Oreochromis niloticus: one gene and its partners. The protein of the gene in region 2 purifies or fractionates together with the protein of the main gene of each other region. This does not show direct contact. Links are inferred from orthologs where the notes say so. Each region holds a gene or a part of one and is shown on either strand. Other genes may lie near its edges.

Evidence for each region.
Region 1: the proteins of med4 (region 2) and cdk8 purify together in Homo sapiens (affinity purification with mass spectrometry; 9 studies listed by BioGRID and IntAct, counting the BioPlex papers as one, with this or other methods). This does not show direct contact. The link is inferred for Oreochromis niloticus from reciprocal best matches to the Homo sapiens genes MED4 and CDK8.
Region 3: the proteins of med4 (region 2) and git1 purify together in Homo sapiens (affinity purification with mass spectrometry; 3 studies listed by BioGRID and IntAct, with this or other methods). This does not show direct contact. The link is inferred for Oreochromis niloticus from reciprocal best matches to the Homo sapiens genes MED4 and GIT1.
Region 4: the proteins of med4 (region 2) and polr2b purify together in Homo sapiens (affinity purification with mass spectrometry; 3 studies listed by BioGRID and IntAct, with this or other methods). This does not show direct contact. The link is inferred for Oreochromis niloticus from reciprocal best matches to the Homo sapiens genes MED4 and POLR2B.

What each region holds. Positions count from the first base shown.
Region 1 is NC_031974.2:18,859,641-18,867,382, reverse strand, and holds the start of cdk8 (cyclin-dependent kinase 8), read right to left. Parts: upstream 3,004-7,742; 5' UTR 2,654-3,003; coding exon 2,526-2,653; intron 1,198-2,525; coding exon 1,122-1,197; intron 674-1,121; coding exon 563-673; intron 1-562. Other genes in the region: E3 ubiquitin-protein ligase RNF6, read left to right, coding at 3,040-3,043, 5,338-5,493, 5,599-5,763, 7,651-7,742.
Region 2 is NC_031987.2:29,462,604-29,469,770, reverse strand, and holds the start of med4 (mediator of RNA polymerase II transcription subunit 4), read right to left. Parts: upstream 3,004-7,167; 5' UTR 2,930-3,003; coding exon 2,859-2,929; intron 2,333-2,858; coding exon 2,266-2,332; intron 1,612-2,265; coding exon 1,441-1,611; intron 1,075-1,440; coding exon 1,017-1,074; intron 912-1,016; coding exon 825-911; intron 740-824; coding exon 608-739; intron 255-607; coding exon 82-254; 3' UTR 1-81. Other genes in the region: itm2bb (integral membrane protein 2Bb), read left to right, coding at 5,686-5,769. UniProt on the Homo sapiens protein: Component of the Mediator complex, a coactivator involved in the regulated transcription of nearly all RNA polymerase II-dependent genes.
Region 3 is NC_031979.2:10,581,200-10,588,173, reverse strand, and holds the start of git1 (ARF GTPase-activating protein GIT1), read left to right. Parts: upstream 1-3,966; 5' UTR 3,967-4,057; exon of another isoform or gene 4,058-4,159; 5' UTR 4,160-4,383; coding exon 4,384-4,435; intron 4,436-4,487; exon of another isoform or gene 4,488-4,666; intron 4,667-5,385; coding exon of another isoform or gene 5,386-5,401; exon of another isoform or gene 5,402-5,524; intron 5,525-6,974. Other genes in the region: ankrd13b (ankyrin repeat domain-containing protein 13B), read right to left, coding at 2,861-3,006, 5,386-5,401. UniProt on the Homo sapiens protein: GTPase-activating protein for ADP ribosylation factor family members, including ARF1.
Region 4 is NC_031966.2:36,396,738-36,404,078, forward strand, and holds the start of polr2b (DNA-directed RNA polymerase II subunit RPB2), read right to left. Parts: upstream 3,021-7,341; 5' UTR 2,904-3,020; coding exon 2,885-2,903; intron 1,037-2,884; coding exon 964-1,036; intron 1-963. UniProt on the Homo sapiens protein: Catalytic core component of RNA polymerase II (Pol II), a DNA-dependent RNA polymerase which synthesizes mRNA precursors and many functional non-coding RNAs using the four ribonucleoside triphosphates as substrates.

The DNA of each region.
Region 1 (7,742 bases), on a different chromosome or scaffold from region 2:
GTGACATGTGTTTCCACTTCCTTGGGAGGGGAATGCAATTGTTGGAGCTCTGTGGCAGAAAACGGCATCTAACTCAGTTCTGATTCTCTGCCAGCTGTTTCTGTCAACGGTAATGCAGCAGAGGTTTAACTGCTCAACATGGAATACTTCTTGGTGGATGTGTGTGCTTTAATGAGACTTACCAATGCATAATTAGCACTATTTCAAGTCTCGTTCCTTATTACTGGTTGAAAGCGAATGTGAATGCATCGGCATTAAAAGGGATTTGGCATTTTTTAAAAGAAAGGACATGCAACCCCCCCCCAAAAAACTGCTATCAAATTGCATGGACATTTATGACCTAATTATGAAGAGAGGCCTATTTAAGTCATGTCTTTGTGCTCATAAAAATAGGTGGAAATCTGCAACCCATGCATGCATATGAATATAAACTAATAAAGAAATGCTTAAAACAAACAATTTTAAAAAAACCCAACATGCATTACCCTCATAATATGTATGATAAGTCATGTCATGCAGGTCAAGTGTGTGTGTATGTGTGTGTTGTGTGTTTGCATTTTACCCAGAGATCATGTTCAGCATAGTCAAAGAGCAGCCATACTTTACGGTCAGCATGTGACAGGAAAACCTTCTGCAGTGAGATGACATTGGGGTGCTTCAGCTCCCGCAGCAGCTGCAACATACAAACCCACTCAGAAGGCCAACCACACAATCTCATTACAGACATCATGAATGAAAATGACGTAACGAAAGAGAAACTTTGCACTTATTTTTGCGACTGTACTGATTACCAGAATTTATACTTAAACAGGGGGGTGGACACGATATCATCTCCTCAACTGAACACTTTTAATCTTTGGTAGTAAGATGTTTTAAAGAAAACCGCTTGTGAGGCAATACGTCATATCACTAATTCTGTGTCTACTCTCTATATGCACTGCATTAACATCTGCTTCCTGACTTTTCAATTTTACAATTGCTTGTATTTCACATTTTTCATTTTCTTGACAAAAACTAGCGTGTGAAGGTCATTCAGACGTTACATAAAGCACCTGGAATGGCAAGAAGGTGTTTAATCACAGACCAAACAAAAGGAACAGAGTAAGCCAAGCAGCTCTTACTGCAATCTCTCTGCAGGCTGACATGGAGATGCCAGTGCCTTCAATCTGCTTGAGGGCGTAGTCCTTATCATCCTTCCTACAAACACACAGACACACACACACACACACACACACACACACACAGAAAGGTAGAGCAACATCAACACCAGACCAGCCCAGACCAGTCCAGACTGAGGGCCCCCTGAGAGCCGTTTGCACAGCAACATAAAGGGGGGCACTTGGCAGCTGCCAGTGGGACTCTGAGAAGAGGCCGAGTTGCATTACCTCCAAATTTGTGTAATCAAGCTCACCTCTGAGGGTCAAAACAATAGAGAGGGAAAGGAAACAGGGCCTGTCTGGCAGCTGGCAAGGGACAAACAGAGCACTGGCACTGGCGCTTACTTGAACGAATTGGTTACAACCCCTCCCTCTGCCGGGCCTAAATCATCTCATAAACCCAAGCTTTGTGCCTCCTCAGGCCTCGTCCAAAAGCAGCAGCGCAACTCTGCTAAAAAGTCTCATAAAAAAAGCAGGCTCCTAAAGCGAAATACAGACATCTTTAAACACTTTAGGACTCTTTTGTGTGGTTCCTGCTGCCAGTATGTCCGGGCTGTAATAACGGGACTAGTAGCTTAAACCGTCTTGAGCTCTCCCCCAGCTCTGGTCCAGACACAGTTAAGGCTGTTACAAGGCTCACATTAGAAACAGCAGGAAAGTTTTAGGAAGAAAGGTGGGTGGTGCCCTGGCATCCTGAGGGATTAGCACACTAACCATGCACCACATAAGTCTACAGTTTGGGTTCAGCTATTTCCCTTACTTTACTTCATGCAAAGGCTAAAAGCATAAAAAAAATAATGATAAAATTGGGTAAAAAAAAAAAAAAAAAAGACTTAAGAGTGCAAAAACTGGGCATAACTAAAGATTATTTTTTGAATTCACACAAAATCTTGTAAAAGTCTCTTTGGTATCATGTATAACAAAGACTTAAAAAAAAGAAGACATCAACAAGTGCTTCCACATGCACCTGCTGTATTACATTTACTACATCGCATGGGGGGGGGAATTAAAAAATACTTTAGCTTAAATAAATAAAAAATAGTACCTAGAGTTAGGCATATACGTGACAAAACAGATGCATGAAAAGGGAAAGCTCCAATCCCGGTGGTAAACCGTATGTCGGTGTTTTTTGTGCGCGACACAAAGCTTCATCAGCATCCCAACAGTGCGAGCTGAAACTGCTCACACTGCTCTCTTTTGTCTCTACACAAACCCACTGCAACACTCCCACATCTGCAAGTGGCCTTGAAAGGGGGAGGAAGAGGAGAGAGGTAACATTTATTTGGAAGATGAGAAGAGAGGCAGGAGGCGGGGGGGTAAGCTGGCTAGGGTTCACTGGCTAAAAGGCCTTGCTGCTCATCAACTCACCCATCTTTTCTCTTCGCCTTGTATACATGGCCGTAGGTGCCTCTACCCACTTTGCATCCTTCGTACTCAAACAGGTCCTCGACACGCTCTCTTTCGCCGGTCAGCTTCACTTTAAAATCATAGTCCATTTTTACCACCGTCTGGCCTGAATGTATCCGCTCCTTCCTTTTTTAAAGCGTCGCTTGGGAGGCAACTAGGCTCCTCCACCGAGCTCGGTTTGGTAATTCAGCTAGTTGCCTTCTCCAGCGTGGCTCTTTCCTTCCTCCAGCCCGGCTTTCACATCGAGTTCTCGTCTTAAATTTAAAGCTCCGGAGGAGATATGCGGCGCTCCGAGATGGTCCAGGTGGAAACGGAGCCCCAAATATATTCCTTTATCTTGTTGCTGCGTTTCTCTTCAGCCGGTATCTGCTCCGAAGGGACGCACTTCACTCGGTAACGACGGCGTATTCGCGCACGGCATTGTCGTAAAACGTCGTGAAGACAGCCCTGCAGCAGAGAAAGAGCCAAAGAAAAAATGGGTAGGCTGGCTATACCACGTGGAAATTCTCACTCTCACTCAAATATAGCTGAGATATGACTTGATATCATCGTATCGTCTTTATGCTAAGGAGAAGCTAGCTTATTATTTTCCGTATTGTGGGTTATTACGTGGCTATAAGAGGGCTGTGCAAACAAATATCTGCACATTCTGTCCACCACAAAGAAAGCAGACATGCATTTGATTTTAATTCAAGAGAATAAGTAAAGTATGGTTTAAATAGCACTATATTGTGAAAAGAAAAAGACTGTCCAAACAGATTAATGTTGAATGGGCAGTCACGGGATAAAGTAATGAAACGTATAAAAAAGGGAGACAAAAAACAATATACTTTTAAACTCTTTTTATCATCTTCTTTTTGCTGCTTCCTTTAGTGGTCACCACAGTGGATCATCTCCCTCCATCTCACCATATCTCTAGCATCCTCCTCTGTTACACCAACCCTCTGCATGTCCCCCTTCACTATGTCCATGAACCTCCTCTGTGGTCTTCCTCTTTTCCTCCCTGGCAGCTCCATCTTCAGTACCTTTGTTCAATATATCCACTATCCCTGCTCTGCACATGTTCAAACCATCTCAGCCTTGCCTCTCTAATTTTGTTTCAATTTGAGGTGTGCCTCTGATATGCTAATTTCTAATCTTGGTCCCACTCCCATTGGAAATCTAAGTGAATCAGTTTAAAGTATTTTAAAAGTGGAAAACTGCTATGATTGGTCCAAGAACCTATCCACTCATTACCATACCCTGGAATGTTGGAAGAGCTATTTTAGCTTCTGCAGCCAGCAACCTTTATAATTGCCAATAAAGAGTGGCAGTTATGACTGAGATACAATATATGATTAGCTGAATATTTAGAATATTTAAAATAATTTAAACAAAGGCATCAAGAACCCTAATGTGAAGCTTGTTCCCACCACTAAAAAAAAGTCAAAATTTCCGTGTTTTAATCTCGAAATGTAATCTTACTAACTCACATTTCTGAGAAAAATACTTTGAAGTTTTAGATAGTATAGTATAGCTGAATAAAAGTATAGCAACTTTATAAATGATGCTTTTACACTGACATTCACTGCTGTCACCTAGGTCAGCCAAACCTTGAGCTTAGCTTTGATGTTATGTTAGGTAGGAACTATTATAGCCGGGCATCTTGTTTTTGACCGACGCTGTAGTGCAGCACCGCTGGTCCCATCTTGATTTGAGAGAGCAGAGAGAGCAAAGCGAACCGTCCATATTACAGCTGCCTCGTCAGGTACGAAATTCTTTTACATGCCACTGTCATCTCTTATGAAAGTGTGTTAGGGTTAAGTGATAGGTTCCGTGTACTCCCACTGCTTGAGAAAACGTTCTGTCATAATAAATTATGATAAGTTAATGAGCCTCGTAGCTCGCTGGTGGGTCGGCTAGCGGAGCTATGTGGTAGTCGCTAACGCTGGTTGTGCTAACGAGCTAGCGCTGAGTTAGTAGCTGAAGCATTGCGCACTTAAATGGCTTTTTAAATATCCACAATTCTAATTGTAATGTTGAGCCAATGTTGTCGTAATCGCTACTATGTGTCAACATCTCGATTTTGTAATTCTCTAATAGCGCTGACGAGATTCTTTGTCTTTCACTGTTTGCCCTGCGTTTACATGGAGGAAGCCTCCCTTTCGGTTTATCACGGCCCGCCTATGTTCAACGCTGATTGGATGCCTGGCGTGTCCGTCTTGAGATTACGCCGCTGATTGGTGGCTAACCAGGATGACAACGCCAGTTTTGTTGCTTTATTCCGCTGCCTTCAACATGGCCTTCCGTGGATACTGTTGTCACTGCGTTAATGTTAGGTTTCGTGATGACTGCTTCATTGTTACACTACCCCTTAGATTTACCGTGGTAGGGATTTAACTGAGCATGGGCATAATTAAATTTGATGAATTTTCGGCGCTAACCTCTAGGCTAAACGTTAGCAAGATTAACGTAGCCATTTCCATTCTTTTGCTGTAAGTGTTTCGACAGAAAATGGATGGCGTTGATTTAACTGTTGCCCTTGGGTAGAAATAGTCACTCAAAGACAACGTTGAGCAAACAGCTCATATTTGCACTGTGTTTTGCGCTGGTCTTATTTATAGCAACTGCTCGCTATATAACAGTTTGATCTTTGCTTGTCCATAACCGAATCAGATGACCATTAGCTAACACATGACTTGTTCATCTGCAACATATTAGAAAGACAAATATCTACAGAGGGTAACTAAGTGACAGATCATCCGTGACTGACTCTTGCTTATTTGTCTGCCAGCACTTTACACGGTGATGGACCCTCCTGGTGGGGGAGATGAACGGCGGAGGCAGGCAGAGCGTCTTCGAAGGGAGGAGGCGTACTATCACTTCATTAATGAACTGAGTGAAGAGGAGTACCGTCTAATGAGAGATGGCAACCTGCTGGGCACTCCTGGTAAGGAGGGGCACTTGATGCTTTTGCGCCATGTTGTTGTATCTGTACCCACAGTTATTTTTATTGTACAAAAAACACAAAGCCCATGAAATATTTGTTTTACAGGGGAGGTGACTGCTGAAGAGCTCCGCCAGCGTCTGGATGGAGCAAAAGAGCGTTTGTCATCTCAGCCTTCTACCGAGCAGCGCTCACAGACTTCTGAGTCTGGAGAGCAGCAGAGCAGCAGCGGTGAGGGAGAAGAGAGAGGTGCTGGAGGGAGACGAGGAGCAGGTAGGAAGGACTTCTTCCCTTAATCTTTCCAGATCTGGCTTTTGTGATGTTTTGTTTTATGTTAAGCCCCAAAGTCACTTTTGAGTTAAATGGCTCTGTGGTATAGTGGTAGAACATTCACCTTACATGCAAAAGATCTGTGGTTTGATTCTGGGGTGAGAAGCAGAATCAACCTCGTGACTTTTGTAACCTGGCAGTTTGCAGCAGGGTTTAAGATAAGAGTTTAAAATCATGTTAGTTCTCGCTGCAGTTTTAAAGATGTATCAGTAGAGAAGGTCAGAGATTCGCAGATTATACTTAGGGAGATGCTGCAGCAGTTTGAAGAGATGGAAAAAATTTTGCTCTGGATTTATTTCAAATGTCTTTACTTTCAGTTTTGTCTACTTCTCTTCCTATCAGCACTAATGTGGTGGTAGTGTCTGAGTCACGGCACCTATCATTCATCAGAATACAGCAGCAGCTACCTGCGCCTGTCCGATGAGAGTAAATAGAAGTGGCTATGTGACAAGCACTGGTGACGTGTGAAGTCACAAACGAAGGGGTATACCGGGGTCTTTAGGGATCCATCTGCTGTGGTGACCCCTAAAGCTGCGTACACACTGGAAGCAATTCACAGCAATGTGGCGACTAGAGACCCTAGAAAGTCATCAAAATTCAAGTGAATAAAGACAAAATGAGTGCTGGGGAAAGGAAGTAGGTGTCACTCGTGATAAACCGTTGTCAACTTTCAGAGGAGTAAATGAACAGACGAGTAATGAGATTGAAGACTACCCATGATTGACATATGACCTGGTAGTAAACTTATTAGGGGCTTACTGAGGGAACTGGAGCTTAGAATGTCCACAAATGACTGGCCATCAGCTTCGAAGCAATGTCCAATGAACGAATCATTTCATATGTGTACGCAGCTTTAGGAAATAATGGAGCAGCTTTTACGGCCCGCCTAGGGGTGGCCAGACCATAACATAAGGGTGATCCATCCCTATCTGACCCCAAGCAACACATCGCACAATCAGTACTTTTTGACTGTGATTTATTTACAATAAGTGAATTTAAAAACAAAGGAAGGGAGCGAATTAAAACTTCGGGGTGGACCTAAGGCCAAAATAACAAACAAAGGGAGCCTATCTCAAGGATAAATCAAACTTACCTACTCAAAAGAATTAAACCAAACGACAGCGACTTACCTTCCTAACTAACAAAACAGGAGAAAACTCAAACAAAAAGGCAGTCCACCCCTACATGCTCCTGCATCAAACAAACATAGCTAAACAGGGAACACAAAGTCTGCTGGTTGGGATTGGCCGAGGATGAATGAACGGCCGTCCATGGCGGTGTCTTCCTATATGTTGTTCCCCGGTCATTAGCCAATCCGTACGATCCGTCCCCTGGATGCACCAATCACGGAGAGGCACCTGCACACTCAGACTTGCATATTAGACGAAATAACGACAACAGTCAAAACACAGCCAAAAGTTACTTAATTTTTGATTTAAAAAAATCAAAAACACAGGACAGGAAAAACACAAAATAATCTTTAAGGACTTGCTTTGGCAGCAAAAAAAAAGAAAAAGGAAAAAAAAAGGATGACAAAAGACAGGTTTCATAATATGTTCTGTGAAGGTCTTGTATTTATTTTAAACCTTGCCTAAGCTGGTACCAAACAAGACGGCGTGCTTTGTTGAACCGTGTTTGTATTTATGTTTTAGCCTGACAGTAAATACAGTCTAAGTACTGGTTTTGAATAGTTTAAAATGGCTTTTATATTGTTGCAAGAGAACAAAAGCAAGATTTCTGCTAGAGACCTGTGAAAAGAGAAGTAGATTTAATGATTTAATTTACCTAATCGTAACCTTTTTTTTCTTCTTTTTTTTCCCCTTCCTACAGGGGGCACAGAACCTGGAGCAGAAACTTCTAATGGTGACTCATTACTGGAGTGGCTGAATACTTTCAGACGCACTGGTAATGCTACTCGCAGC
Region 2 (7,167 bases):
AACATACAGACACACACACACACACACACACACACACACACACACACACGTCTCAGCGTCTCTTGACTCTGAGACACACTTTTAGTCGGAGTCACTACTGCTGCTGGAAGAATCTGTGGACATGGCCTCTACATCATCTTCGTTCTCCTTGTTGTGACCCGGAGGCTCCAGGCCAAAGTCATTGCCGTGGTGAGGGGGCAGCATCCCCACTGAGACATCAGACGACTGCCACGGGTAATGAGGCGTCAGGACGTCTGAAGTGACACGAGAGAAAAGTGGTTATTCTGTGAAATGCCAGACACTGACTGACACTACTTATCTCAGCTCCCTTATATAGTATCTGAAAGCTGGCACTTTTTGCCAAGTTTCTTATGTTACAGAACATGATGTGGATGCAGTCTGAATGGCAACAAATAAAATCTGTGTTCAGTGTTTATACTTGATAAAAAGAAAAATAATGGATCCATCCTTTAACTTTTTATCATTATAACGATAAATTATTAACTTATACATTTTGAAATCACTGTAACAAACCTCTGACCTCATCTACAATCTCTTTGCCAGGAGGCATGGGCACTCCTTTCTTTAACTGCTCAGCTGGACTTACCTGGTAACCTCCCAGCAGCTAATGCATCTCCTGGCAGATGCCCATTCACACCATTGGTGGACAGGTTGGCCATGTGACCAAGCATCCCACTACGCATTTCCAGGTCGGTAGGGTACGGTCTGCGTGGATCACCTGTCAAGTATGATGACAGTGAATGAAGCTGAACATAACTTTTTACCAACACCCGGTGGGAGCTACAAGAGAGCCTGGCACATACCTGGCACCCAGTTGAGAGGAGCACACACAGCGTTACTGGCACTGATTCTGTGAGCATACTTGATGATTTCTTCTGATGAGATGCTTCCTGCAGAGAACATGTAAACAGTGTCAATTTATGAGCAAGACATCAAAGAGAAAACCAGCCATCAAACACAGCTTTCACCAGAACGTGTCGGGAGTGTTCCCTCACCTTTCCTGGCTCTTTCAATGGATTTCAGTTTCTCTTTTGCCTGGTAAACAGCAGTGGCCTGAAAGAGATACACAGAAATATATCAGTCCTCTCTATCACTTGTCACATGATGTTAGAATTTAAAGAAGATGTAGTTTCTGTTTATCATGACTCTTCATATGCTGGCCTCATTATTTTAAACCTTGACCATGTTTAATATGTACATCTGTAACAAAGTAAATCAGAAAAAGAAGAGAATCATAGGCCCCTTTACATTTACAATAGCAACACTATAACCCTGAACGCCTCTGCTGTAAGAGCACAGTGTCAGCTACACCAGCATACTTAAAACATTTGAGCATTTATTTCAATCTGTCAGCGTTGCCCTGCTCTGGATGAAAAAAAAAAAATTAAAAATTAAAAACAACAGACAAGCCAAACCCACCAGGATGTGTTCTGCTTCCTTCAGTTGTTTCTGGAGCTGCTGGATGTCACTGTCTCTCTTCTCCACCTCCTTCTCCAGCAGTTGCATCTCCTGGTGAACCTTCCCCTGCTGCTGTGCCACCTCCATCAGCTCCTGAAACTCCTTGTCCCTCTGCACCAACAGCTCCAGAATCTTATGGATAAAGCATATACACATTCTGTTATCAAAGATTTCCTATTTGATACGCTTCATACAGGTTACTGTAACTAACTAAAATCAGTCAAGTCTAACTTGTAAAATAATTTTAGGCATTCTCTGGAGACTCAGACACAATAAAAGGTTCAAAAGTTATGAAAGATTTATGGACAAGACGACAGAAAATCAGTTGGAAGGAACTAAATATCTTCAAATGTGACCGCATTAAAATTAAATGCTTAAATCTAAAAAATTATGGTTAGCAATTAAGCACAGGGTTTGTCCTTAAAGAAACAGTGATCCTGTATCAGTGATCATGTCTCACCAAAACTTTAAAACAGCAAAAAGCAAAAAACTTAAGACTGTGCAAGTCCACAAAGAACTTAAAGATCAAGTACCAGAAACTGGAAAAATACAGACACCGAGTGGCAGACAAGTATCAAACTGGACAGTGTTTCACAACACTGACCAAATATATAGCTGGAGACATTTTAGAATAGCTGCCACATAGTGAGACTTGCTTGTAGAAGGCCTTTGGCTAAGCTTTGATCACCACTAACCCTAAGACTACACATGGTCTGACGGTCACTGTGAGGGTCATTAGTTTGTTTAAATCTCGGTGTGTCAACTGCAGGCTGAGTGGGGTGTTACCTGCGTGTCCTCTCCAGGTTGAGGCATTTTCTGACTCCTGGACAGGGCCAGCATCTCTATCAGCTCCCTGAAATGAACGCACACACAATGAGAAATGGGTCAAACAGCACAACTCAATCCAACAAATCAATTTCTATCTTTATATATTTATTTACTTTTTAAAGCTCATACTGACGATCGTTTTCTGTACGCCTATGTTCACTTTGTTTCTCTGATTAGTCATTTTGGCCATTCTTGTGGTAGTTTCCTTTTAAAAATGACTATTAGCCGCTGAGTGTAGTACCTACAAACTCTTCAGCAACCTTGTTTTATAAAATGGACACACTCAGTCTTCTAACTGCTAAAAGTTTCCAAGAAAAGACTTAGAACAGTGTTTCAGGTTGTTTCAAATCCCAGGGTTCGTTATCTTTCTTTCAGAAAAGCCGTTGTTTCGGCCAGTGAGCGGCATGTCTGCTAGTAATCAGCACAAACTGGGGGTGCTAGTTCACGGCTCCAAATATGAGTATTTTATCTCTTCACAGATAAAATACGGATAGCTTACCAAACCGTTTACACGAGACACAAGAAAGCCCCCACACGAAGTTTAATTTTACCTGGATAAAACCTCCAAATCATCCAGCACAGACAGTAGTCTCTCCTTCGTCGATTTCTCCGCCGCCGCCATGTTTACTTTCTTTCCTCTGGTTTGCGCAAGACAGGAAATGATGTTCCAACATGCTAATGCTTCTTCTTCTTCTTCTTCTTCTTTATTGTTTTCGGGCAATTTGCGTTTTGGTCTCTAGGGTATGCTAGAGATATGACTCCTGTTCTCACTTCCGTAGCATTTGTTGGCGTTATTACATTAGTATTATCGGCAGCCCCAAAAAAACAAACAAAAAAAAAGTATTATTGGCAGCCATATTCTAATCTAGACTTATGGTGCCTTATTTATATATCTATAATTTTCAATAATTTGTACTAAGTTCATCTACTCCAAATAAATTCCTCCCGTTTTTTTGTTTTTTACTTTTTAATGCACTGCATTTATTTGTCAGACCTATGTTTTTAATTATAGGTTACCTGTCATTTACGAAGATAAGAGCGTCAAATATTTTTTTTCTGTTATCAGCGTATTTCACCTTCATTCAAGCGAAAAGCGACACGAATGAAAAATTAAGGAGTACATTAAGTTGGAAAGGTTGATAATATATATATATTATTATGACGGGACATAATGTGGAAATATTCAAGTAACGATTCAAGCGCTTGAAAATAAAAATGAATACAGTACTTCTGCCATATTTTTTTCATTGTTTTTCTTTTTTTGAGTACATCACACATCATACATCCCAGCTGGCGTGAAAGAATTGTATTAATCTTTTGTTTTGTTTTTTTGTCACTGTATATAAATGTGTTCACACAGCTTTATTTTATTTAGTTCCCATGTCCCCGACCAGGGGGAAACAGCCATTTCCCAGATGTCGGCTGTTTCCCCCAGTCTGTGGCAGGCCGTAGACAGCGCAAACCGAAACTGAAGAAGCTTCCGGACCGTCAAAATAAAAGTGCAAACCAGCTTAAAATTTCACAAAAGTTTATGTAATGCAAGCATTTATGCAAAATGGGAAAAGTGCCACAGTAATTAAAAGATAAAATACATATAAACTTTTTTCTCTTGGAAGCTGTGTACAGTGTATCTGTATTTCGTGGTTGGATATTGCCTTTCGGAGATGAGAACTCACATTGCAGCCTGATTTTATTCACGTGGTTTGTTGAGATATTTGAATCAAATAAATACGATATATTCTGAATTCATTATATAGCTCATCAGTTAAAACTGACAGTTCTTCTGTTTTTTCTGTAAATCAAAAATGTGTATATTTTCTTGAAGCCCATTAAATTATTTAAATTTTGGATTTCTTTAATCCACTACCACTTTTTAGTCATCATTTATGTTCGTGCCATTATGTTAATTTTCTTATTTTCTCTTATGTTATGGCAGGGTTATCAAACTCCTTTTACACTGTGTAAATATAAAGCCAGATTTGAGCTTAACTCCTACTTCTGTCATTGCAAAGAAGTTTAACTACACATTACACAATACATCTCAGTTTTTCTGCATTACAGAGAAATACTGAAGTTTTTCAGCACAACTCCTTGGGCTTAAACTGTTATAAATAAATGCATAAATTACTTCCACTAATTACGTTAATTGTATTAAATTTACACCCAAATGTATTAATACAGAAAAAGTTCTATTGGCTTATGGCACAGATGGTCTTTTACTTATACAAACAGAACATTTTTGTTAATTGAAAGAATTTTTGTTTTTGTATTTCTCCTGTAAAGCCACTGCAAAAATGATAGATTTGAATAATGATGGTAAAAAAGTGTCATTTGTGTTTTCATTCCTTGTTTATTTTAGGTTAGTGGTCATGGGGGAGTTTTTTGATCAGTAGGAAAACTCATAAAACTTATGAAAATACAGTTTAAAAAGCTGTCCCAGGGGCCAGATTGGAGAGGTGATTCTGGTCCCTGGGCTTATGTTTGACGCCCCTGCCTTACTTTTATCGTATTAATCAGTGTGTGTAGCTCGGATTGTCCCCCACTCCTTGGTGTTGATGGTTGGTTATGTAAATACATCCCAGAAAAGTAATAAACTCTATAAATTATATTTATAGTAATAAAGTCTTGAGTTTAGTGTATGTGTTCCACTACATTTCGGAAGTAAATGATATAATATTTATTGACAGCTCTAGGTACCAGAGCAACAGTCGTGATCTAATCACTTTCATAATATTTGCACAGTTTTATTGTTCTATATTTAAATAAAACATTTTAGTCTATTACTTGTCTTTTTGTATTATTTATCTATTTTATTATTTAACAGTCATTTATATGTTCTTTTAAGTAGGTATATTATTAAATATGTTAAATGAGTTTTTCGTTAATTGTTTTCTGCATTGTTTTATTTGTTGTTTGTCTAGCATTCCCATTCACTGTGCTTCTCGGCCTATTGTAAATCGCTTTGAAATACATATCTTATATAGGAGAGGCTATAAAATAAAGTATAATAAAAGCAAGTATAATAAGGTATAATACAGCACGTATATACAGATAATTACATAATTTCACACTGATGTTCTTTTTAAGCTAAGTTTTAAGCTTGGATTGTGCCATTTTGCTTTTATATTGTCGTATTTCAGTCAAATATCGGAACGTCTTAGATTAATCGTCGTGGATATGCTTTTATTTTGAAAGTCGGAAGCGCGGCGACTCTAAGTCTAGCTTTACATCGCTCTTATCACAACAACAGAGCAGACTTGGCCGGGGGAGAAGTGCGACTTATTTTTACTTCGGAGCAAATTGTCTTTGCTGTTGTTTGCTTTCTGTCGTGTTGCTTTTTTTCCCTTTCTCTCGGAGATTGTCGCCACTTGTTCCAAGATGGTCAAGGTATCATTTAACACGGCTCTGGCACAGAAAGATGTGAAGAAGGACGCCGAAACTCTTATTCCCGAGGAGGACAAAGTGAGTAGAAAATGGCTAACAGCAAACTCGGTTCTCGGTGGGGGGAAAGGCGCAGTTAAGCATAAATGCGTAGAGACACAATACTGTTGTTTAACAGGGCTCCTGATATATTTCAGTTTCTCCACTCTTTGAACACTTTTAAACAATACATTTTAAAATCATACAATGTATCATTTAAACTACTAACGTCAAATAATTGACTGGACGTTACTTCCTCATGTGGCGTTTGTTTTTTTCACCTTTGATACTCTTGATGTTTCCGGTATTTTCTACTTGTTTCCATTTTTAAATCTATTGTATCCACATAAATATAATATTTACACCTTTTAAGTTGGTCTGACAATACCCTGAAAACATTAATGTAAGTTTATGGGCTCTAAAGTGTAGGAACGAGCTTTGCCTGACTTTTCATGTCGTTTTAGAGGTCAGCAAGTATACCAGGTGGTTAAAGCGTGCAGTTACCAAACAGACCAGTCAGTAAGCAGAAGAATGTAAGAGAAAACAGTGGAGGGAAAAACATTAAGTGCTGGCACCAAAATCACGTGTAGATTTTTACCTGGCAAATTTTAGGATGGGTTTTAATCTGGTTTCATATTACAGTTATTCCTGCTTTTTTTGCAATCAGTTGGCCTCAGACTTCAAGGACATGAACATGTGCCGAGGAAAGAAAAAAGAAAAGAAAAAAAAACACAACAGAAAATGCAGATGTTATGTTATTGCCTCTTTGTGAAGAGTGCCACTCTCAAAAAAGAGAAAGCAGAGGAGGTGGGAACTTCCCCATAACTAAACTTAAAAGTCCATGCAAATTTAGTTATTTTTAATCTGCACCTCTCAGCAATTAATAACAGCTTAGAATGGAAAGACTACACAGGAAGGCATGGGAGTCTGTCACTTTGACATCCTCTTTGGTCTGAAAGATGTGTATGTTGAGTGTCCTAAAAATGTCATTCAAAAGTTAGAAAATTCACCTTTCCCCCCCAAAAAGTGCAAAAAACCCAAAAGAGTGCTGTGCAGTGTGGTGACGCTGCAGTGTATTTTACACAACATTCACTAGAAAAGTGCAACTAAATGACAGTTTTAGAGTTGCAGAGCGGCTGCGACTGCTGTGTGATCTCACCCTGCAAAGGAGCTGGTTGTATTATTCAACTGCTTTCGAGCTGACTTGTGGAGTTGAATGTGTGGGCTGCTGAGGCGTGTTGCCTGTCAGACAGTAAAGTCTACAAGAAGATCTTCCCGCTGGCCTCCACCCTGTTGTAAAAGGAGCTGCCTGTTGTTTCTGTTTCGGTCTGACAGAGGACCTCTGGGCTCTCTCTGTATGCAGAGAGCACTGCGATGTAAACCTTGCTACAGTTGCAAACGCAAACGGCTGCTTGTAGTTTCAAAGATGTGTGCTGAGTG
Region 3 (6,974 bases), on a different chromosome or scaffold from region 2:
GAGCTGATCGTATAAAACATACCAAATAATGCATCACAAATGAGTCCATGGATATAATGCTAATTGTTAATGCTGACATTAGTTTATAAAGCGAGGAAAATGTTTGCAGGATTGTATAACATAATCCATATGAGCATACAATCACACAAAGAGAAATTTTGCTGTAGTTTGCGACCTGTCACCACATACACGTTGAGCTTTAGACTCTAAGAAAACACACCTGGTGCTGGCAGGGAAAATGCAAGAAATATGGGGGGAAAAAATCATTATGTTCTTGGAAATAGCTTTAAAGTCATATTCTAATATAAGCAAGGAGAGAAAACAGACTGTAATCTTACCACTGTTTTAAATTTCATATAAACCTAGGGTGCATAATGACAGCTGGTAGACATGGCCCCATGTACTGTAACTGAAATAAAGTACAATAAAAATAACTTGCAACTGGAAGATGATCAGCTGTGCTTATTTACTAAAGTTCATTTGCACGTTTAGCACTTTGTTTGCTCTAATGCAGTAAAAACAAGTATCAGACAGTCTGGCTGGCTTAGTTTAAAAAGAAAAAAAGAAAAAAAGTGGAGGGTTCCAATGCACAGCAGAGGAGGAATAAAAATTTGCATTATAAAATATTTATTGATACAAGAGTTCCTGAAAAATGAATTACTATGGGGCTATGAGGGCAAATTTATTGAGCCTGTGTGAACAAAACATGGCCAGAAGTTTCTGTTTACTGAGCGTGATGTGAAATATTAGCTACAGTAAAGTAATGTGTTAATATTTAATACTTCATTAACACACTTAGGTGGTGGCAAAATAAATACAATAATAATAAATGGTATAAACTCTACGAGGTACCTACTGGTGCCAAATTATAGGCACGAGGGAGGGACTCACAAAGCACAGAAGTAATGCAAAGACAGTTAATAATTACAAGCCAGAGGTATATCATTAACGAGCTACTTTCATAAAAGGTTGCCAGCAGGTCAGCATCTACCTGTGTTGCTTGACATTGGCCGTTAGAAATTCCATTATTATACATTACAACAGTGAGATGTATGAAAGGCAAATGTGTCTCTTTCAGGAAATGGATAAAATGCTTGTAGTCCTTCCTGTGACTGGGTTGTTGTAATGATTCTCACTGCATCACCTTAAATTTCCCAGCATTTCCCAGTTAGCAGGAATACTTAATGCAATGGGATTCATCCTCAGGGGATCATGAACAACTGCTCTGCACTTAAGTGTAACTCAGTCTATCCAATACAATCCATCCAATATTTGTTAGGACATTTCTGAGTGTGAAACTGACCAATCAATGGCCCACTGACGCTTTCATTGTTTAAGAGACCCCGCAAGTGTAGCTACTGGACGAAGATGCACACCTTTGCTTTAAATGTATCAATCTTGACATTTGAAAATATGAGACACTCTCCCAGGTTAGCAACTAATCCAATTTTTGAGTGAACACCGACTCAACTGCACATGTTTGGCTAGGTATGTTTTCTCTGTAGAGTTTGAATAATCGTAATAATTAGAGGTGGAGCGTTGACGGCCTGTTACATTTTTGGAGCAGATTCTTTAAAATTGCACGATAGTGCATTGACTAAGAATGAAGAGCGCTTTCTCTGAGTGAGTGCCCTTCCAGTTTTAATTAAGCCCTCAGCCAGCAGCCAGGGTTTGAAAAGTTTTTGTCTCCTCCGCCTCAAGAGCTCACATGATTCATTTCCATCTCCTCTATGCATGAAACGCGGTAACTATGTCACCTCTAGCCCTGACTTGACAATGAGAGGTCTGTTCTTAGAGCCTCTTAACTGTGAGGTGTGCCATGTGTTTTGCAATAGTTATTATTATGGTGAGGATTTAAATGTAACGTGTCATTCCCACAATCTATTGCTGTAAATGCAGGGAACTGTGGCAAACTGACAGCTGACCGTTTTTGGTCTAAAGAAATGGCTCCCCGGGTTATGATTTTATAACCACATGAAGGTGAGGGTGTGCATGCGTAGGCAAGTGTGCGTAAATGTGTGCACACACGTGTAGAAATGTGATGGCTTGAGCAAGATGCAAGCAGTTCTCCTCTATATTTGTTTGAATTCACAAGCATCTGTTCACATGACACACTGTGATATTCTTATCGTGTTATCTGGTCCCTCCCTTTTTACCGCTGTGACAAATATCCATCCATTACTGCATGTCTCATATTTGGAGACCATAGTGTATCTTAATGGTTCTATTACTGTATTTACTGTGGTCGCTGGCAACTGTTCGCCCACATGCTACAATATCTGCATTGTCTCACCCACTCACAAAGGGTTTAGGTGCTGGTGGGAAGGTGGAGAGCCTACACTTTTGAGTAGATAACAATAAAGCTGCTTAAACACAGACATAAACGCATAAACGCGCACACACACACACACACACACACACACACACACACACACACAGTTCAACCCCATAAGGTTTCACTTTGATTTTCCTTTTTTTTTTCAGGAATAAACTCCTGACACAACTTCCTATACATATTTAAATTACAGGGAGGCTGGGTATTTCCGGTACCTATGCGCAGCACAGACCTGACATGTATAGCCTGTTGTGTCACACTGTGGTTTAAAAAATGAATGGCAACAAGAAAATAGCACAGATTCGAGGGCACGATACGGTCCACAAGTGTCACCCTCCACCCTATAGCAATTAACTGCGCTAATACCGGCCAGGTTCTTGAATGAGGTGGTCCGTGGATGGCAGCTTCTCCACCACTATCTACAGCTATGGATCCACATACCTAATAATCGCCTGTAAAATAGCTTTATATATGGAAAGAAAAAATGTGTTTGATCGCCTTTCCACTCCCCCCTCACATTCTCACCTGCTCGTTCCTTGCAAGCTCCTTCTCCAGTTGTCGGTGTTTGTTGTGCCACACCAGATAGTGGATAGGATAACGACTCTTCTCCGGAGTTTTCTTAGCAGAAATCATCCTCGGATCATAGTTTGCCTCTCCCTCCTCTTTCTTCACTGTGGATCGCAAGAATACTTTGTCACAGATTTACGCTATACAATTAATCCTATCATCCTGCATCGGCGGTGATGCCCAAAGGCGTGTAGGGCAACCTTACGCGTCAGAAACAGTGGATGGCTCCCTGCTCGCTCTGCTTAGAATAAACGCAAAAGCCCCATGAAATCATTTAGAAATAAAGATAAGGGGGGAGAAAAGCCCTCCCTTGATTGTGTCAGTAGATTGGGTTACACCTTTATTCCTTATCCACCCGTTCCTCCTCCTCTCGCTTTCTCTTCCTCGCTCTCTTTCTCCCCTGCCTACTCTAACGCGTCTATCCTCCTCCTCTCCTCCCATCCGGTGGTGACTGAGAAAGATGCATTGACAAGCTGCAATGAAATGGGCGCACACTCAGCCAATCCGCTGTCAGGGCTCTGATAAAACACATGCCTTGTGAAAAAGAAAAAGAAATCGAAATGATGCGTTTAAAGTGAACCAGGCCCACATAGCATAGGAGTGTTATAAAGGAGGTGTGGGCGTACTGTGGAGAAGGCTGGGGAGCGCACGACATGACAGCAAAAGACAAAATTCATCAAAGTTGAAATGAAAGCCAAACTTCTTGATTCTTTTTGTTCCTCTACTCTTATTCTGCGTTATTCACAGCAGATTTTTCTTGTCGACACGACAGAAAAGTGAAACAGATAAATCCAATAAATCAATAGCACTTTAATGTTTCATTTGACTGCTAAAGCTGCTCAGCCATTGAATGTTCATTAAGAGGTCAGAGAAGGTGATCACGATATTTCTGCTTAAATGGAGCAGTGTGTGTCTTATATCTAAATGCTGATTAACATCAAGTAACTTTTCTGTCAGCATGAATTTTAGATTGTGATTAAGTCCCACTCTATCGAAACCACCTCACCTTTAAGAATATAAGGTTATCATCACGCCCTGTCCCTCCCTGTCCTAAGTTGTCGGGATGTTGGGTGTGTGTGTGTGTGCGCGCTCGTGTGTGTCAGAGTGAGTGAGCGCGAGCGCGGATACTGTCAGGTAAAGAGCTGCCGTCTCTCGGTGAGTTGCAGGCAATGCAGGGAACAGATTTACTGTAGCAATATTCCGAGATGAGATCCTTTATATAAACAGATTAACTATGTTCACATAACTTGGATCCAGTCTTGGAGTTCATCAGCGAACGTGGGCGAACAGACCGCTGGAATTAACGGGAAGCTCAGTCGTCGTCAGCTGGCCGGGGGAAAAGCCGATCATACCACCCGGCTTCCGGGGATTCAGGGGCCGCATCGGTTGACGGCAGACGTCGGTCTGTAGCTCGGGGGGGAAGACGGGCGAATATTCACATCATCGCCGACATCCACCTCTCCGTTTCATCCACTTTCGAGATGTCGAGAAAGCTACAAAGAACAGAAGTCTGCGCTGACTGCAGTGCGCCAGGTAAGGAACAGAAAAAAAGAGAAAACAGACCATGGGACTGGAACAATGCGTCGATAGGGGCGACGTGGTGGGAGAACAAGGCCGAAGTTGCTGTCATTGTCAGAGGGTCTGCAGAGCAGGAAAACGGCCAGGGCTCCAAAGCGTCGTTTAGGCCCAAAATAAACACTGGAAAAAATAGGCGTGTTGCCACAACGGGAGAATATCTCTAGCTAACAGCTGCTCAACGTTAATGTAAGCCATTGAATAACTTGATAGGTATATTTATTTGACCACGGCCATATGTGAGAACGAGCAGTTTATTTGGGGCAATTTAAGATCCGAGTGTCAGCTTTATGCTGCCTTCCCACTCGAAGAGACGTTTGTTTTGATTTTCGTGACCGGGACAGACTTCCGAACACGTTAGCTTAGCTTGGCTAGCGAGCTGGCGATTTTGAGTCACTATGCAGCTGTGTGATAGAAGAATTTATGGTAGAGTGAATGTCCTGAGATATAATAATACATTTATAGCGATGAACAGCTATCATATTGTTAGCACTTGCCCGTGGCTTTTGGAGTTTGTGCTTTTTATACTGCTAGCTTAGCTATGACGTTAGCTACTTCAGCTAACTTTTGCTAAACGCCAAGTTATTGCCAAGCTGATTCAGCTAAAGCGTCAGCGACCAGTCAATAGCTTTAACAACAATTTGGCTTAAAAAATACAGTAAAGTATCAAAAACGTAACTAGAGTTTCTGTTTGTTTAACTTGATGATTTTAGAATATCTACAGTAAAGTTAAGAAATAAAATAATGAGAATTAATAGGAGTAAATTCAGTTTACAGTCATCCTAAGTTGGAGCACAATTCAACATAAACCTGAAATGAGCCATACCTGTAGTTGTACCTCAAAATCATTTAAAAGCCACCTCAGTTACATTAACCTAGTACAACACAAAGTTAATTTCTAGCTTCACCTGTCTCAGCTTTCATCCATACTGTTCAGGGCGTAGTGATTTCCACTACAGTGACCATCCATAATTCTAGGTTAGTTTCCAACCCACTTCTCCTTTGGCCCCATCTGTGTTTGTTAAAATCTGATTAGAGGCAATGTTAATAAGACCCTTCGTATGTAGCCCCAAATGCACGTGCTGTTTCAGTTCGATCCCCTTGATCATTGGTGATCTTGTGTGCCTTGCTTGCATTCATTCATGTATACATGTGCAGCAGCTGCTCTTATGACAGCTGCGACCCCTGATAACTCTAAACTGTCTATATGCTGCAGTCCAGCCTTGCATTGCACACCTTGCTATTATTACTTACTAACATGCTTCAGCACCTATTTGCCTTTTCTGGTTCCCTTTGAGTTACTTTTTACATACTGATGAAACCCCAGTTGAACTCCTTTCGTTGATACTATATTAACCTGCAGAATAACAACATGCGCATTATCTGTGACATATTAGTTATGTTTTAAAGCTTTAGTTTATTTACTAGACAAAATAAGGCATTCACAATGGTAGATGGCTTGTTCGCGTACCTGTTACTAGCCGTGCATTTCTTCTACAACCATCATCTCTCTGCATGTAGCCTCCTTGCGACTTACACACACACACACACGCACGCAGTGCTTTCTGCAAAATGCTGACCTAGCCCCCTGGTGACAGGCCACCTCCCTACTACCCAGCTTTGTGTCATACTGGGGGGATAACTCAATGGCATTGCTACAAAGGACGACTGATACTCCTTTCGTAGCCAAGCTTCAGGAGCCTTTAATGTCACACCATGGCAATCTGCACAGTTTATGGCAACAGTGAATCACATCGTCACTATAGTAAACTCTTTATTGCGCACAGATGCATTTGTTTAGGAAACTGAAACTCTTGTGCAACTATTCACAGAAGAGAACAGCGGGGTTGAGTCGATATGTTGTGTTGGTGTCCGTGTCAGGCTTTGCTGTTGTTGCTGTGTTTGGTTAAATTTAGAAGTAAGATGGAGTAAATCCGGCAAGCTGAAACTTAGTACAATTAAACACTGTATTAAAATGCATTGTGATATACACCAAATGAGCCTGAAGCTAACCCGTTAATGGCCAAAGTATACAGATGTGTGCAACATGTTATCTCAGTGTTTGAGAGTGGAGTGTAACACAATTTTAAAAACTTGCACTCATTTGTAGCATATGTTTTTGTGCAGGGTTAGCTGACACGTATAAAAACAAATGTTATACTGGATTGATGAATTAGGCCAACTTTAGGCAACATTATGCAGCAACATGCTGCAGATTTCACCAATACAGCACTGCTAATAGTCTATCCACTTCTAATAGCTTAATGGCATAGCCTCATATTGATTTAGCAGACCAGGCAGATAGCCTAGCCTGTGGGAGTTTTTTTTAATATTTATTACACAGATTAAGGAATTAAATTGCTGCGGCCTTTAAAGCCTACAGGGCTGCTGTTCTAAACTGAGCTATAGCTTTTTTTAAAAGCCATTTTGCATTTCCTATTTCTTTTTTTCTATGGGCAAAAAGACTTAAAGCACACCGGTTCATCTGATGATGGAC
Region 4 (7,341 bases), on a different chromosome or scaffold from region 2:
AAAAACTAAATGCCATGTTGCCATATCATTTTTTGATTGGTCCACATGGTACATTTTTCCACCAATAGGAAAGGGCGGGGTTTTTGGTGTTGTCTTTGTTCACAGGCTTTCGAGCGTTTTCCTTATAAAACGCCGTTTTTACCGTTTCTTCCCGCAGTAAATATAAACAACGACAGTATTCAGGAAGAAAACCAAACATTGCAGATATTTTATCATAACTCTGGTTTTACGTGGCCTATCAACACAATTTAAAAACTGGTATAAAGTCCACACTTTTTCCGTCAGTTGTTCCGTCTGTCCTGCTCACATCTCCAATGGTTGGAAACGTTGTCATTAACGTGGCTTCACTCCACATCAGCCACGCTGCTTTGCCAGCTAAAACACCGGTGTCGGCACATAAGGACGCTGTCATAGCCTGTCAACGACGATGATTGGCTGCATATACACGAATGTGAATCGCATTATTGGCTGGACTGTGGGATAAGGTGGAATCGTTCTAATCCCATACGGGAGCAGCCAGTCACTCACTGGCTAACACTGCAAAACAGAATTGTTAAAGTTTTAATTTTAATTGCAATTCAGGTTAATTTTTTTTGTGCACAGAGACCGTGCCAGCAGTGCGCAATTGCGCACGTGCGTATCTTAGAGGGAACATTGCTGGTGGGTAATGAGCCAGTGAATAATGCAAAAAACAGAGATCTGAGATGGGAAACTAGCCAAAGTCAGAGGGAATTAATGATTATGTTTATCAAACGAGAAACGTAGTTTGATCTTCTTTTGCTGCTGGTTCAGAGAGAGACAAAACCTGCAGCATCAGAGACCTTTGAGCTGTCAGCTTTGAACACCGATGGCGGGTCCGTGTACATGCCCTCCGGTCCGCGCTTTGTGTGGACTCACCATAATATTTTTCCTGTAAGAACAGATGATCACTACATCTCCACAAAGACACACAGGTGAGTTTACCTGATGACGATCCAGCACGCTTCCTGCCACAGGTCAGGAGTGATCTCATCATCATCTTCATCATACTGATTATCTGACAGAGACAGCAGGGATCAATATACATGAGCAATACACATACTGAGACATAGAAGCTTCACCGATCAATCAATGACAGATTGTCGGTTCAGGTTGCTTCCTTTTCACAGATAACTGCACATAGAGTTTACTGATCAGTTTAAACAACTGGTGAATTGATCAGATACATCAATAAAAACAGATGACAATCTCACAGGAAAGTTATTGATCGTTCTGTTTTCAACTCACTGGCTCTGATCACGCAAACTGATCAATCAGAAGCAACACATCTGATCTGTTAAGTAAACTTCCTGTTGGTGTGAGTTGAGTGTAATGACATCACTTCCTATCTGAGTGCAGGCAAATGCAGCACACAGCCTGAAGCTGGTTGTATCAGGAGAACTCTGTTGATATGAACTGTGAGGTCCTGAAGACTGAGCCGCAGGGTTCATCAGAGAGCTGATTCCAAACTGCTGACCGCACGATGGTGATGATTTACTGTCAGATCACGAGTCATGGAGGTGACACACGGCTAAATCCAACGTTCAGCGTTTTCCAGCCCACACAGAATCTCATTAACAGCTGCAGTCTGACAGACACTTCACTTTCATTTCTCACACTACAGATGACGCTCCCTGTGAGCTCAAACAACTGTTTCATAAAATCCAAGCTTGGCTTTTGAAACACTTAAGTGAGGAGTCTTGGACCTGCTCTCACAGCTTTGAGCTGATTACAAACTCTCTCGTCCCCCTCATTCAAATGAATCATAAATGATCAAATCAGCTATTACTCTGCTTCACAAACTATTTACTCAGAGTTAAAGTTTGTGGAACAAATCCTGTTAATGTGGCTCATTTAAATATTCTGCTCTTGAAAGGAACCTCTTACAAATACTTGTGTCATTAGTGTACTGCAAAAACACTTTGTCCCTGACTTTGAGTCCTAAACCTCTTCAGTTATTCCAGGATAAAGACAGCTGAGTGTTTTGAGGTGCAGCAGACATCCTGTCCTGTCTTTGAAGGGACATTTTCATTATCACAACCTGTAAAACACCTGTGATGAAGGAAGACATTTTGTAGTCCATCTTCTGCACTTTGTAGTTTTAACACGGCAGCCCTTCAGCCTCACGTAATTGAGGAGACTAGTGTGTCTCAGCACAGCACACGTCTATTTTTCTCATCATCTCTTTCATTTCATGACCTTTACAGGTTAAAAGGAGGTAAGGAGGAGAAGACAGGAGGAACTGACCTGCTGCCTGTAGCTTTGCCTCCCTGAGAAACTGGGTAATGACCTCTCACCTTTAACTTAAAGATAGATCGGTCAAGTATCTTGTGGTCAACGTTTACTTCCATCGCTGATCAATCTCTGATCACGGTAGAGCTTTCTTTATGCAGTGTTTATACTGTGTAAATGTGGCGGATTGTACACTGTTTTTATACTGCAGAATTTACACATAATATAAGTGTTCGCGTTTATACTGTGGTACTGTTTATAAATTGCAGTATTTGTGGGTGTAGTGTCACAGTAACGCTGAGTGTAAACGTCTGCAGCGATAAGTTAAATAAAGGGTCCTCGTGCGTTAGCAGCATTTAGCCTGTTAGCTCACACAAAGCCCCGCTGCTTTTAGCTGCTGTTAGCACACGATTCAGGTGAGGCTCGTGATCTGCGTGAAGCCGACGCGTACCTGTGTGACAGGTGTTTGTTTGGATGAGTGATACTAGCTTTTGTTCTCTCAGAAATTACTAAAATGGTTAGCTGTAGCACGGGTTAGCTCCTCTGTCACGTCCTGTTAATAAAATTACCCAATAAATGCAAATAAAATAATCCACCATGTGACGTAATGAAGTTTTACGGCTGTGCAGCTCACCTTCATCCTGGTCATACATGTTTATCTCCTGAAAACTTAAAACCACAACAACAAAAATAAAAACAACAACCACAAAACGATGCGATCACCGCGCGCCCCGGAAACGCAGGTCACTTCCGCTTTGTTCTTCTTTGTTAGTAATAGGCAGAGGTGAAGCATTACTGTCCCTCACAGGCTGGATGCTACAACTGCACAAATCCTCAAGCTTGCTCTCAAGTCAATATCGTGTGTGTTTTTGTTTGTTTGGTTTTCCAAAAAACGTTCTTTATTTCTCTTCAGATATTTTATTGTGAAGCACAAGTAACAATTACAAAGTTAGCCTTTTCTGCAGCTATAGGGCATATATGGCATCACTCTTGGCTGGAAGCAGTGCTTAAACAATGGTAAAAACACAAACTTTGTCCAAAAACCTCATGTTCTCATGTTTAACTGTTTCCCACTTTTTCTTTGGTCATTTTAGCCTTTTTGGCCAGGGTGAAGGGAGTACCTGCCATCAAACAAGAAGACAGCCGCATGTAACTACGACGGTGTTTGCTAGTTCACCTTACATGCATTAATGTAATAATGTGGTTAGCCTACTCAACGTAAATTACACACGAACAACATTACTCATACTCACGCAGAGAAGAACGGCTGCTGCTGCCATCATCATCGTCATCATTTCTGCTACACTGGCAGGGCTAGGGGCCAGGACTCTCCTCTTCGGGTTTTTGGGGGATGTTGCTAACTCCGGGTCCGAGGCACCACACCCGCAGTAGATGTGCTCGGTGTGAGGTCTCGCAGCAAGCTATCAAATATGGCGCATTTCTCGGCTTCTAACAAAATGCTATACATCGCCAGGTGTTTCATCAGATTCGAGGAGTTACCTCCTTTGACAGTATCACAGTATCAGCTTAAAGCACTTGTTGCAGGCTGCTGAGTTTGCATCTTTTGCTGTGAAGTACAGCCAGACTTTTGACCGCTTTGCCTTGGGTATTTTTAATCTGTAGCTCTAAAAGAATGTATGTATCTGGGCCCGCCTACTACGCTTGCAAAGGTAAAATGATTGGCTAGAATCCAAAGTTCACCAGCGTCTCTTCTTCCTCAGAAGACTCAGAGACTTCCATCTGCCACTGAGGGTGCTCAAGAACTTTTACTCCTGCACCATCGAGAGCGTCCTGATGGAAACATCTGCACCTGGTTTGGGAAAAGCACCAAGCAGGACAGACGAGATCTGCAAAGAGTGGTGCGCTCAGCCGAACACATCATTCGAGCAGAGCTTCCTGACCTGCTGTCCATCTACACCAAGCAGTGTAAGACCAAAGCTAGGAAGATTATGATGGACCTCTCCCATCCCAATAATGGACTCTTCTCACTGTTGAGGTCTGGGAAGTGCTTACGCTTCCTTAAGACCAAAGCAGAGAGAATGAGGAGGAGCTTCCTCCCTCAGGCTATTCGGGCCCTGAACCAGCTGTAGGACATGACTGGAGTCCCATACATCACTGCACCGGACACGCTCTGTTTATTTGCACACTTCTTATAATTTATAATTTCTTTTTATCCATAATTTCTTCTGTAAATCGTTATTTGCATTGTTTTACTGTAAATTTCTCAGTTAAAATCTGTAAATTTTGTAGTAATCTGTAAATCTTACTGTCAGTTCTTACTGTCATTTAATGGTTGGGCATTGCACAGCAATTGTCAGGGTACTGGGTCGTGTGACCCAGTGTATGAGTTTTTATGTATCTTTTGTATTCATTTATGTTCTAGTTTAGCTCATGTAGTTAATTTTTAGATTGCAGTTTAGTCCTTTGTTTCTTAGTACTTTTTGTCATCTTCCCCTGTACTAAGTCTCCCTGGTCCACACGTCTACCTGTCATGTTTCATGACTGTGTTGTCCTTGTTGTCAAGTTCGTGTCATGTCTATGTCTCCATGTTTCCGGTTGTATTTTGAAAGAGTCTGGTGTTCTTTGTTCATTGTATGTAGTTTCACTTCACCTGTCCTGTCATTAGGTTCATGTGTGTCAATTCAGGGTCTGCATCCTTGGAGAACGCAGCCTTCGCTGCCTACGGCTTTGTCCCAACCCAGCGACCACATGCTTCGTAGTGCGCATTTGGAGACCGATTATGCCACAGCACCGTGACGACGCCTGTCCCAGTTCGAAGTGTACTCCAAATGCCGTCGACAAATTTGCCGTCCATTTCCCCAAATTTGAAGTGTGGTCCGGTGTACACTTCGTGGTCACATATATCCCACAATTCATAGCGTGGCGGTGGGTGTGGATAATTTTGCCGAAAAATACGGCAGGCGGCTGAAGTGGAGCGGCCGAAGAGTGAACTTTCAAAAGTAAGTTGTTATAGTGGATGGTTAAATGTTTGTCATTTTTATGCTTACCATCCATTTCTACATTGTTTAACTGTAGGATGAAAGGAATTCCACTGTCCCCCTCCCCAGATTCTTGAGTTTTTAGGTGAGGGGCTGTAGGTTTGATTACAGACACATCCTATCTGGAAGGTCTGTTTGATGTAAGCTTCCTGCCCAGCAGGAGGTCTCTTTCTCACACACACACACACACACACACACACACACACACATATATATACATACAGTGCCTCGTCTTTGTAAACAAGGGGGGTTAAGAGGGGAGGTACGTGTTGTAAACTATTGTGTGAACTGTAACAGTTTGTCAATAAATAGCTGCGAGGGAAGCTGCTCTTTGAAGGACTTTGGGCTGGAGACAGATAGGAGCGTGAGCTCCAAGAGCTGGTCTTGACCAAAGGCCTCCCTTGCGCAAGTAAAAACGATCGATCACTGTTGCCTTGTTTTTCTTTCATGGGAATAAGTCCTGGATACAGCGGGGTCTGAGTTTAGACCCAACATAAGTACTGAATATGATGTCACTCACATATGTGCGAATGTTTAATAATGAAGAACATTAAAACATTACTGTTGGCCACATGTCGGCAAAGTTATGTGACATTAGTGATGTTTGTACTAACTTGGTTTTAAAGCCTTTTATTTAAAATATACGCCGTTCAATAGTTGACCTTAATCTTACAGAGAATGTGATGATTTTATGGATAATTAAAGTCAGTCATATATCCACAAACACAACAAGCTGAAAGTCAGTGATGCTGCTCGGTTTGCAGTCCTGAATATGACGGCACAAGCAGGATTCACTGCACTGTTAATGTTAGCTATGTTATATTGCTGCCTCTGTTCGGTGGTGTCGAGCCAAACGGACTTTAACGTGTGTTTGAACGAGCTGACGGTTCACTCGTTAAGCTGAAAGAAAGATGCTTTAATCACAGGAGTCACACATGTGTCCACTGGACCATCTGGGAACTCTTCTTCTTTAGTACTCGTAATAACACAAACACTAAATCCTCCTTCTCTTGTGCTGTTTTGTAGCAGTGTATACACCTGAGACTGTCACCTGTCTGTCTGTCCTGCACTCTCTCTCTGTTTCTTTCTCTCTGATTGTGGAATAAAAGTATGAACATGTATTTATAAGTTACACTTGTGTTTGAATCCTGCAGCTTATCGCACATTTGATTTCCATGTGTGACAACTGCAAGTGTCCAGAGTGAGGACAGACTGAGGGACCCACTGCTGCACATCATCTGTGAGGCTTTGCAGCCCTGATGATCCACCAGGACAAACTCAGCAGTGTGTGAGGAAGAGGAGGAGGAAGAGCCAGCAGCAGCTGACAGATGGAGAGAATAGACAGACTGTTCCCTGTTTGTGAAGGACTGCTGGGAAAGTTTAACATAACTAATTGTCTGTCCTGAATCAGTCTTATTAGGTAATGTTCAAATAATGTTATCATCCCAGTGTTTTCAGTGTGGGAGAAAGTACTCAGGGCCTTCAAGTTACACACTATGAAAGGCAGCAACAAGTTTCATATTCAGAAACCTAAAGTATATATCAGCAGCAGAATGGAGCTAAAAATAAATGTTTGTTTCAGTTCTATGAAGCTTTGAGTATTTTGGATTAGTAGCACTGCTGTGTTTGTTGCATCACATTGCTGTAACTGTTTGTATGCTTTACATATTCTGAGGTAAGTTGATCTATAGTGTTACATCATGTTCTATAAGGATGTTATGTGTTTGTAGACTTTCTGCCCAGTTTGACCCATTTAGCAGAAGTCAGCCTGTTTAAAGCTCTGATGTCTATTCTGTATGACTTAAAGCAGTTATGACATGGTCTGATTTTCTCACCCAATAAAGGAATATTTCATATATCAGTCTACTCTTCATTTTATCAGCAACAGTTATCACAGCTCGTACATTTTCTTTTTACACATATATGTAAGCATTGAGCCAAATGTAGTAATGCCAACATATTAAAAGAACAATATTTGTCTTTTATATATGATACATCTATATACACACTGTCAAAGATACTTGTCTTTGAGTGAAGATTTAAGGAGATAGGAAATATAAATAATTGTAACTTGAATCTTTACTAGGGCTGC